Macaca fascicularis: one gene and its partners. The protein of the gene in region 1 binds, or shares a complex with, the protein of each later gene. Links are inferred from orthologs where the notes say so. Each region holds a gene or a part of one and is shown on either strand. Other genes may lie near its edges. The genes, in order: TGFB1, ITGB6 and TGFBR1.

The links.
Region 2: the proteins of TGFB1 (region 1) and ITGB6 are in contact, whole or in part, in a crystal structure (PDB 5FFO), measured with the Homo sapiens proteins. The link is inferred for Macaca fascicularis from reciprocal best matches to the Homo sapiens genes TGFB1 and ITGB6. Residues at the interface, in NP_000651.3 of Homo sapiens: Pro70, Gly71, Pro72, Glu75, Leu158, Asn237, Gly245, Asp246, Leu247, Thr249, Ile250, His251, Met253, Asn254; in NP_000879.2 of Homo sapiens: Ser142, Ala143, Ser144, Asp146, Asp147, Pro196, Cys197, Ser199, Ile200, Pro201, Tyr202, Lys228, Lys231, Ile232, Ser233, Ala234, Asn235, Ile236, Asp237, Thr238, Glu240.
Region 3: the proteins of TGFB1 (region 1) and TGFBR1 are in contact, whole or in part, in a crystal structure (PDB 3KFD), measured with the Homo sapiens proteins. The link is inferred for Macaca fascicularis from reciprocal best matches to the Homo sapiens genes TGFB1 and TGFBR1. Residues at the interface, in NP_000651.3 of Homo sapiens: Ala279, Leu280, Asp281, Asn283, Tyr284, Tyr328, Ile329, Trp330, Gln335, Lys338; in NP_004603.1 of Homo sapiens: His39, Leu40, Thr42, Lys43, Phe55, Asn68, Met70, Ile78, Phe84, Val85.

Annotation. Positions count from the first base shown.
Region 1 is NC_088393.1:48,485,368-48,489,019, reverse strand, and holds part of TGFB1 (transforming growth factor beta-1 proprotein), read left to right. Parts: intron 1-2,339; coding exon 2,340-2,457; intron 2,458-3,652. UniProt on the Homo sapiens protein: Transforming growth factor beta-1 proprotein: Precursor of the Latency-associated peptide (LAP) and Transforming growth factor beta-1 (TGF-beta-1) chains, which constitute the regulatory and active subunit of TGF-beta-1, respectively.
Region 2 is NC_088386.1:55,604,725-55,608,376, forward strand, and holds part of ITGB6 (integrin beta-6), read right to left. Parts: intron 2,991-3,652; coding exon 2,825-2,990; intron 1,583-2,824; coding exon 1,421-1,582; intron 1-1,420. UniProt on the Homo sapiens protein: Integrin alpha-V:beta-6 (ITGAV:ITGB6) is a receptor for fibronectin and cytotactin. It recognizes the sequence R-G-D in its ligands. Internalization of integrin alpha-V/beta-6 via clathrin-mediated endocytosis promotes carcinoma cell invasion.
Region 3 is NC_088389.1:58,995,726-58,999,377, reverse strand, and holds part of TGFBR1 (TGF-beta receptor type-1), read left to right. Parts: intron 1-562; coding exon 563-808; intron 809-3,652. UniProt on the Homo sapiens protein: Transmembrane serine/threonine kinase forming with the TGF-beta type II serine/threonine kinase receptor, TGFBR2, the non-promiscuous receptor for the TGF-beta cytokines TGFB1, TGFB2 and TGFB3.

The DNA of each region.
Region 1 (3,652 bases):
TGCATCCTAGGACGTTAAACACTTAGAAGGCTGGAATCTTAGGAGTTGGACTCTTTAAGGACACAGGATTCTTGAAAGTTGGGATCTCTGAAAAGGTTGGGGACTCTAGAATCATGCTGTCCAATGTGACAGCCGCTAGTCACATTTAATTTTATTAAAATTTAAAGTATTTAAAATTAAATTAAAAATTTAGGGCCAGGCATAGTGGCTCACATCTCTAATCCCAGCACTTTGGGGAGCCGAGGCAGGCAGATTGCTTGAGCCCGGGAGTCCGAGACCAGTCTGGGAAACATTTTGAAACTTGGTCTCTACAAAAAATACTAAAATTAGCCTGTTAACGGTGATGTGTGCCTCTAGTCCCAGCTACTCAGTAGTCTGAGGTGGGAGGATTGATTGAGCCCAGGAGGTCGAGGCTATAGTGAACTGTGATTGCACCACTGCACTCCAGCCTGGGTGATGGAGCGAGACCCTGTCTCAAAAAATATATATATAGGCCAGGTGTGGTGGCTCATGCCTGTAATCCCAGCACTTTGGGAGGCCAAGTGGGTGGATCACTTGAGGTCAAGAGTTCAAGACCAGCCTGGCCAACATGGCGAAACTCCATCTCTACTAAAAATACAAAAATTAGCCAGGTGTGGTGGCGGGCACCTGTAATCCCAGCTACTCAGGAGGCTGAGACGGGAGAATCGCTTGACCCTGGGAGGTGGAGACTGCAGTGAGCGGAGATCATACCATGCATTCCAGCCTGGGCAACAGAGCGAGACTCTGTCTCAAAAAATAAAAATGAAAAACAAATCCTCATTCTCACTGGTTGTATTTCTAGTGCTCTATAGTCACATGTGGTTAGCAGCTACTATTTTGGATGTTGCAGAAAAAGAACATTTCCAGAAAGTTCTTTAGGACAGCACTGCTCTAGAAGATAGGGAGCTTCCAAGAGGACTGGGGCATCTGGAAGGGCTGGAGGCTCTAGCAGTTTCTATGAGCTAGAATCCACATCAGAGGGAATGTTAAACTCATACGATGGTAGATTTCAGACTTTCATAGTGAGAGAACTTTGTCCTATGTTAGCTTGGCCTCTTGGAGTCTGGGGAATTCAGCTTTATTCTGCAGGCCCTGGAGTGGTCTATCCAGCCCCAGAAAATTCTTTTTTTTTTTTGTGGTGGAGTTTTGCTGCTGTTGCCCAGGCTGGAGTGCAATGGCACGATCTCAGCTCACTGCAACCTCTGCCTCCCGGGTTCAAGCGATTCTCCTGCCTCAGCCTCCCGAGTAGCTAGGATGACAGGCGTGCGCCACCACGCCTGGCTAATTCTGTATTTTTAGTAGAGACAGGGTTTCTCCATATTGGTCAGGGTGGTCTCGAACTTCTGACCTCGGGTGATCTGCCTGCCTCGGCCTCCCAAAGTGCTGGGATTACAGGCGTGAGCCACTGCGCCCAGCCCAGAAAATTATACTACACAGATGTTGGGTGCCTCCAGCATCTAGGTGCGGCTTGGCAGACTCTTGGGTTTATAGAACATTAGTCTTCTAAAGCTTCTCAGGCTCATTAAATGTGGAAATCTTGGGATATTATCAAACATTTGAATCACAAAATGACTTCTAAGTTACTGACTTAGAATTCAGGGTGTCACATTTGCAGAACTGCATGCTCAGCAAACCCCAGAATGTTTGCAGCAGAATTTTATTGTATTTGTTATTTATTTATTTATTAATTAATATTATTTTGAGACGAAGTCTCATCCTGCCACCCAGGCTGGAGTGCAGTGGCGGGATCTTGGCTCACTGCAATCTCTATCTTCCGGGCTCAAGCAATTCTCCTGCCTCAGCCTCCCAAATAGTGGGGACTACAGGCGCACGCCACCATGCCTGGCTAATTTTTGTATTTTTAGTAGAGATGGGGTTTCACCATGTTGGCCAGGCTGGTCTTGAACTCCTGACCTCAAGTGATCCACCGCCTTGGGCTCCCAAAGTGCTGGAATTACAGGCATGAGCCACTGTGCCCAGCCCAGAATGTTAGCAGCGGAATTTTAGCATTGTGGGCTGTCCACGCTGAGTGGGGCTTAGCATTTCACCAATGAGGAAACAGGCCGGAGAAGGCAAGAAAACACGTTTGACTGAGCTGTGTGAAGGTGTCTTGACCGCAGCCTGGGCGTTTTCTCCACCCTTCCTCTCACGGGTGCTGTGGGGGAGGATGGGTGCCACAGGACCACACAGCGTGGCTGTCTGAGAAGGTAGTGCGTGGGAACTTTCTGGAAGCAGATGGGGTGAAGGGTTGAGTTAGTATATGAGGGGGCGTGGCAGCATATACCCACTGTCTCTCTCCCAACTTCATCATCCTCTAGAAATACAGCAACAATTCCTGGCGATACCTCAGCAACCGGCTGCTGGCGCCCAGCGACTCGCCGGAGTGGTTGTCTTTTGATGTCACCGGAGTTGTGCGGCAGTGGTTGAGCCGCGGAGGTGAGGATCACTTGTGTGTCCCACCCCTGTTTCTCAGTGGGGTGCACCCCATTGTGTTGTCTTGGGGTCACTTTACCTAGGATCCCTCTCCGCCCCATACTGGTGTGAAAGTACTGAGACCTGGCTCCCCTCTGTGGCCTGGAAACCCGAGTGATTGGCTAATCTGTTTCCTGAGCACCTCTCTGCCCTGCCTTGTGATGGGTGATGCTAAGGACAGAGCAATGACCAAATCAGCCCCATCCTTGCCCTCATAGAGCTCATATAGTTCATTGGGTGGGTAGCTGGGGAACAGATCTGTAAGGCAGTGATGACCCAGAGTGGGTGGGACCGGGATGGGGAGCCCAAAGAAGGTACCTGACCCAGCCCAGAATCAGGGAGGGCTTCCTGGAGGAGGGGCACCATAGCTGATGTTGAAGGGATGAGTAGAATGGTCAGGAAAAGGAGAGGTGTAAGAGTATTCTGGGGCTGGGCACGGTGGCTTACACCTATAATCCCAGCACTTTGGAAGACTAAGGAGGATGGATCGCTGGAGTTCAGGAGTTTGAGAGCAGCCTGGGTAACATGGCAAAACCCGGTGTCTACAAAAAAATACAAAAATTAGCCATGCATGCTGGTGCGCGCCTATAGTCCCAGCTGCTTGGGAGACTGAGGTGGGAGAATCACCTGCGCCTGGGAGGTCGAGGCTGCAGTGAGCCATAATCACAGTACTGCAATCCAGCCTACACGAAAGAGTGAGATCCCATCTCAAAAAAAAAGAAAAACAAGTGTTCCAGGCAAGGGGAACAGTCTGTGCAAAGGCCCAGAGGCCAGGGAGCCTAACTCATTTGATCTGTCCCAGAGATGACTGTCTCTGTCCAGTTCCCGGCAGGGGCCATGGTGCCCGTATCTCTCTCCCTCACCTCCCTCTCATTCATGCTTTTATTCAATCATTGCCCACAGGTTCCTGCTGTGTGTCTGGCCCTGTGCTGGGTGGTGTGGGGGACACAGTGGTAACCAAGACAGCCCTCAGTTCTGCCCTCATGGGGCCCACAGTCACTTCTGGACACCGAAGAGATCTTGCCCCACCAGGCAGGAATGACCTAGAATGATTGAGGATGGGACGGGGAGGCACGGGCAGAGAGGACAAGGCTGGGACAGAGAGGCATGCAGGATGGGGGATGCCCTAAGCGCTGTTGGGAGCCCAGAGAAGGCTCCC
Region 2 (3,652 bases), on another chromosome or scaffold:
TTCTAGGTTCCTGTCTCCCTCTTTCTCTCCTCTTGCACCCCCTCCCCCTCTCTTTCTCCCCCACCTACACCTCCACAGCATTGTTCTAAGAAGTCACTTAAATTCTCTGTACCATATTTCCCCAAGTGTTAAATGGGGAAAATATGACAATCGCAGATTGCTGCTTCAGAAATCAAATCTATTTCTTTGTTTTCTTTCTTTCTTTTTGAGACAGAGTCTTGCTCTGTCTCCCAGGCTGGAGTGCTGTGGTGCGATCTTGGCTCACTGCAAGCTCCACCTCCCGGGTTCACGTCATTCTCCTGCCTCAGTCTCCCGAGTAGCTGGGATTACAGGTGCCCGCCACCGTGCCTGGCTAATATTTTGTATTTTTTAGTAGAGACGGGGTTTCACAGTGTTAGCCAGGATGGTCTTGATCTCCTGACCTCGTGATCTGCCCGCCTTGGCCTCCCAAAGTGCTGGGATTACAGGCGAGAGCCAATGCGCCCAGCCTCTATTTCATACATGAGTTGGCACTCACTGTGTTCTAGGCACTGTGCTATCAGGAAACAGAGATAATAAACCAGGCCTGGCCCTGAGGATTGCGCAAGAAAGAGAGATGTAAGAAAACGTATTTCTACGTAGAGATGTGCAAGAACACATCTGCATATGCAACTGAAGGGAAAGATGATTGCTTCAGAGCCTACCAGAGGTCAAAGAAGGCTCTCTGGGGACAGTAATGACTGAGCTGGCTTTTCAAGGATAATGAAGAGTTTCTCAGCAGGCTAGGAGGGAAGAATATTCCAGGCAGAGGGAATAACATGTGCACAAGCATGACAGCCTCATGGTCTGTTCAGGAAAAGCAGTTGGATACATAGGGGTTTATTGAGAAGATCATGCATGTCCAAAGAGCTCTGAAATTTCTTCCTGGTTTTACGAAAGTCAGTTGTTTTCTTTGAATGTCACTAGCATTTTATAAATTACAAAAAATAAGCCAAAGGTTAATAAGCACCAACCAAGCCATACCTGACTAGTTGTTACCCATGGAACATGAAAGCATGGCACGATTCAGGGACCATCATTCACTGCAAATCCTATATGGTTACTGTTCTGGTTTGGGTCCCTCCTTTCTGAGGCCGTGGCTAAGAACAGAATGAGCTGCCTGTATTGCTTCACCAGCACCAGGCTTTTTGAGAGGTTGGGGAGGTTCTGGGATCATGGGATTCATAGCACATCCAGCTTCCCACATGTCCCACTGCCCACCTATGCTCCGGTGGGAATCTCTAAGGATGGTGAGAATTGAACTGGGGCAACTTGTTAATCTCAGATTAGAAAATGTGCACGGCTTTCACCAAGCGTGAATTATTTCACATGTATTACACCAGTTGTTGCTTCATTCTCCTACTTATAGCCCTGAAAACAGTACAGAGTGCAGGTTACACACCAAGACAGTTGACATGGAGTATTCATTCTTGCTGTCCAAGTGACAGAGCCCATCATTAGGAATGACGATGCCTGCCAGTTTGCTGTCCATTCCAAAATGAGAATCAGCATCACTCACAAAGACCAGGAGGTGCAGGGAATCATTCCGCCAACCAATTTTTTCCTACAGTGAGAAACAAACATTTGTGTGATACTGGAGGGAGGCAGGCGTTTTATTGAGTGTGGATCAATTATGCTGGGACACATTTAGGTTATAAAAATAATATTGCTAGTCTATTTTAGCCTTTTTATCTATTGTGAATTGATAATATTAATGTTTTTAATAAAACATGAAATTCTGTGACATTTGCTTTTTCCTGGATAACATTTTCATATGATTTATGCTTCAGAAAAGCATAGCTCCACTACAATCAGTATTCAGTTGATCTTGACTTTTACATAGTTAAATTATTTTTACAATCCAGCTTTCAGTTCTCCAAAAAATTGAGCAGAGGAGTTCATAGATGGTCCCAAATCCAAATTGAAGCCAAACTCGTGAAAATGCAATGTTAAAGGGGCTCAAAGTAAGCCTGTTTCATTAAAATGTTACCCAGCATTTAGGCACATATTTCTCTTTCTAATGATGTCATCCAAAAATTATAAACCTAATACAAGGATAAGCATTGCTTATGAAAGTATGGCCCCAAGGTCCTGCTAATTAAAATTGTCTGTTGTTGGTGTTTAGTAAAGCCCTCCCCTTTAATTAATATTAGTTCAGGAACCAATTGGGTAAAAACGTATCCTGGCTGTTCCATCCCACATTATTCCTTTCCTTCCTCCTCTAATTCCCTAGTCCTCCCACTTTCTAGGAGCTTCAGCCTTGTTTATTTCCTGGTATTTTCCATGAAGGGCTCTTGCCTAAAGACAAGGGAATCATTCTTGTGGATACTTGTCAGATAGTCAAGGAGAAGCAGTGTTCCTGTGATGTTGTAGAGACAGCACACTTCCAAAGCTTACTTTGTTGGTTCAAAACAATAGCTATGTAGTCATATGTATGGACATATACTGATTCAGAGCATTTTAACTTTTTAAAATAAATGTTCTACCCTTGATTTTTTTTTACCATGATTAATCCAAAAACTAATCTGATCTTGATCTTTGAAAATTAATCATGCATAGCTATTGTTTCAACTAAATTTTCCCAACACAATGTTTTTAGATTATTCATCATAGGCATAAAGAACAGTCCCCATTTCAACATGATTTAATTAAATATTTGGCAAAAATTGTGTGTTTTAAGAAAAATACAAAATGTAGAAATTTAGAGATCAAAGGAAAGGAAATTAGCTAATCTTTTTGAAGTAGAATTGTTAATAAGAGATGAACTTTATGTTAACAGCGTGAAACAGCACTCCCTTCAGCATACCTTACACACAGCAGCTTGCATAATTGCATCAAATCCACCTTCAGGTGTGTCGATATTAGCAGAAATTTTCTGATTCTTCACAATTTCATTGAATCTTTCAGCATCATTTGTCAATGGCAAAATGTGCTTGAATCCAAATGTAGGTAAACAGAAGTATGGAATACTACTGCAAAAGTGAGATGCAAAAATATTATTGATGAAATGTAATGGATCTGATAGCTTAGCAACATTCTCTTAAATGAAGATTAGTTTTTCTAAAGGGCCTGACTCTGTAACTCAGCTATGAATCTCACTGTTAAGGTTGTTGACATCATCTCCCACCCTTTCTATGTTGACCATATTAGCTAACACTTATTTAGAGCTTATTGTGTGTCCTGCACTGGCTCAGACTCAGATAACAGATAATCAGGTGATCAGACTCCTGTGTGTGTGTGTGTGTGTGTGTGTGTGTGTGTGTGTAATCACTACCTTCTATGGGCTCCCAACCAAAATTCACCACTAAGTTTATACAATGACAATTCCTTTGTATTCTGATATCTCAGGCTGTCATCAAGTATGAATCACCCTGTAGCAAGACAAGAGAGGAACCTGTCTTCTTTTTTCTCTGCTCCCTCCTGTACCACCAGGTCTGCCTGCCAAGGGCCCAACAATTGTAGCAGCATTCTTGGTTTGAGAGTCCAACTATACTGGGATTGAATAGGCCAGCCTAGAAATAAAACCACTACTTAAAGTACAACATTACGATGAAATCTGCACCAAAGATATTACAGTAGAACACAAAGGGCTGATCATGAGTTCAGCCACATCTTATTTTGAAAGCAAGTTTCT
Region 3 (3,652 bases), on another chromosome or scaffold:
CAGAATACACATGTCTTTTTTAGGGTTTGCACCAAGGGGAATAGGGAGTGTCTGGCTCAGTACAAATCTGTTTCTGTTACTCCATTACCCAGAAAGCCCCTGAAATGGCATTAGCCTACAGTTAATGGGTGGTAGTGTTTTCACGCATTGCTTCTCAAAGGAGGAGTATGTGAATGTTTAGTTTGGGGCTGGTTAAAAACAAAACAAAACAAAAAAAAGTATAACCATTACAAATTTAAATGTACTTTGTTTCTAATGGGAAGGCAAATGCTTGCCTTGCTTTGATGAAATTGAACATAACAAAATTTTTCTATACTTGGAAGCAAAAAACTTCAGGAAAAAACCTGGATCCAAGTGTTACTACATTTCCTTGGGCTTCCACATGTGTGTGGTTCTTAATATAATTTGAAACTTCTAAGAGCAACGAATAGTTGTTTTTTTGAACAGTGCATAGAAGTTGTGTGATAATAGGATCAAGAATGTATTGTTAGAGTGAATATTGGATAATTCCAAACTGTTAACCTTGAGATTTTTTTCTAATAGAATCTTTCTCTTTTTCCAGCATTACAGTGTTTCTGCCACCTCTGTACAAAAGACAATTTTACTTGTGTGACAGATGGGCTCTGCTTTGTCTCTGTCACAGAGACCACAGACAAAGTTATACACAACAGCATGTGTATAGCTGAAATTGACTTAATTCCTCGAGATAGGCCATTTGTATGTGCACCCTCTTCAAAAACTGGGTCTGTGACTACAACATATTGCTGCAATCAGGACCATTGCAATAAAATAGAACTTCCAACTACTGGTAAGTTGTTCTATAAAATTTTTTTCCTAGATACTACAAGAAAAACCCTTCACACTCTGTGACTTTAGAAGTGGAAGGGATCATAGAAGTTGTCTAATCCAACTCATTCCGTTTAGAGGCAAGAAGTGGCTTGTCCACTGTTACAGACTTATAAGAGTAGCCAAGATCCTGCCTCCTGGGTGTGTGTTGTTTAAGAAGGTTGTTCCAGGGTGGACTTCCTCTGAGGTCTGTTATACCTAAAAGGATAGATAAAAGCAAATTCTGACAAAGCCCCAACAACATCTTCAGATTGTCTCTACTTTGTTCTCAGAGTGAATTTCTTCTTCCTTATATAATGCTCCTATCTTTTACAGCAGTCAACAGTCTTAATGAGTGGTAATTCAGAGCAGCACTAAGTAGTCTAGATGTTTTCATTTTGTAATCTCAGCTTGTTTTATTATCTTTATGCATAAATTAATTATACATGATTTCTAGAATTTTGGTCCTTCACCTGTAGTTTACATTTAAAATTTCCCGGGGCTGGTGACTCATGCCTGTAATCCCAGCACTTTGGAAAGCCTAAGGTGGGCAGATCACTTGAGGCCAGAAGTTTGAGACCAGCCTGGACAACCTGGCGAAACCCTATCTCTACTAAAATCACAAAAATTAGCTGGGCATGGTGGCACATGCTTGTAATCCCAGCTACTTGGGTGGCTGAGGCACAAGAATCTTTGAACCTGGGAGGCAGAGTTTGCAGTGAGCCGAGATTGTGCCACTGCACTCCAGCCTGGGTGACAGAGTGAGGCTCTGTCTCAAAAAAAAAAAAAGATAATTAAATAAGTAAATAAATAAAATTTCCTGGCAGAACCAGTAGTTTGAAGGCTTAATAAACTTTTTAATTTTAAGATTCCAGTTTAATATGGAAGTCTGAGCACATGTATTTAACTCTTACCTCTTTCCCCAGATCCCAAAGGAATATAAAAATGAGGGCAACCTATGTTAATACTAGTGGAATTAATGGTAGAATGCCACCCACATGCCAACACTTGTGAGGAACTTCTGCAGTTCTGCAATTTACAGTACAGATGACACCAGACTGGTAAAGAATAGGATCAATAACTAATAAGAAAGGTTAGTCATTGAAAAGTCCGACCAATAACTTAGACGAGGGATTGGGGGTGAGTGAGGGTACGGGGCGAACTCTCAGTTCCCTTTTAGGAAGCACCTGGCTTCAGTGCTCAGAGGAGCAGACACAGTTGCTCACTTTCCACTCAGAGTTGGTCCAGGCCTTGTGCTAATTAAAGGAGGAAGCACTGCTGTAGCGCAGAAGGAAAAGGCCAGTCCTCCACCTGTTCAGCATGATAATGCAGCTCTCCCGTGGTAAGGGTTGGTTAGACTACTATGTCTTTGACTTTGATGAAAGCATCTGCAGTTATAATGTGACAAAGAAAAGGATAATTCCAGAATTTCCCATTTCCATCATTTGAGCTTGAAATATCTGAATAGAGATTTATAAAACCTTGTGAAGAAGTCACCTCATTTCTCATGTTTCTAATTACCATATATAAACTTCTCATTTCCAGCTCTAAGATAAGCAAACAGCAAAACATTACCAGTGAAGAGTTAGGAGCTCAAAAGAAGTAGTCTGAACTAGATAGATTAGATGTCATCCTATGAAATAGGTTTACCACATGATAGGGAGGAACTTTCAAACAGTCCAGGGTCTATTTTCAGTTATTCACTATGAAATGAGAACATTTCACGGTTGTTAAAGGTTGCTTTCAGAAGAAAAGCCCAACTGATGAATGTTTTTAAAAATGCACTATTGAGAGCGAACAACAGACTGGATGCCATAATTTTATAGTCAAGTTTGGGACAAGCTTAAGAAATTGTGTTACAATTCAGAGAAAAGACAGTTGGTGAGCATATTAAGAGATATAGGGAACAGATTTAGATGATCCAATATGCTTATTATCAGAATTCCAGAAAAAGGCATGAGACTAGAAAGAAGACAGAATACCAGGCAAAATTAATGAAAAAATATTAATCCAAACACATGTAATAAAAAGTATCAGTTTCAAAAATAAAAGAATTATATAAGCATTTAACACACATAAACATTGGTTACCTATAAAAGGCAAAAAAAAAAAAAAAGTTCAGATTTTCTGCTTAAATATCAGAGGGCAAATGGAACATTTTTGTAGTCACCTAAAATTCTTTAAATAGGCCAAGATTTTTCATATACAAAGGCAACAGCCTTCTTGCCACAAGTTCAGTGTACAAGGACGCATGGACTGTTCCTGAAGGAAATTACTAGAAATAGGACTCTGTATGATAAGAGATTAATCTACTGAAGATCTCAAGAATGGGAAAGATGTGGTATGAAAGAAATGGTGGTAAGTAGTAAACCAGCAAGACTCAGGATGAATGTCAGAATAATTGTAATTTTCTGAAACAACCAGAAAATTTTAATTATTAATGGAAGTTACAAGAAAATGATCTGGACTTAAAAGTTCAGGAGGTTAAGATAGAATAAAAAGTATGCAAACTCTGTTTAAAAAAAAAAAAAAAAAGATATGTTCTGCCTTTAAAAAACTGGTGGAGCTATTGGCTGGGCACGGCTCATGCCTGTAATCCCAGCACTTTGGGAAGCCAAAGTGAGTGAATCACTTGAGGTCAGGAGTTCGAGACTAGCCTTGAGCAACATGGTGAAACCTGTCTCTACTAAGATACAAAAATTAACCAGGTATGGTGGCACATGCCTGTAATCCCAGCTACCTGAGAGGCTCAGGCAGGAGAACTGCTTGAACCCGGGAGGCGGAGGTTGCAGTGAGCCAACATCACACCACTATATTCCAACCTGGG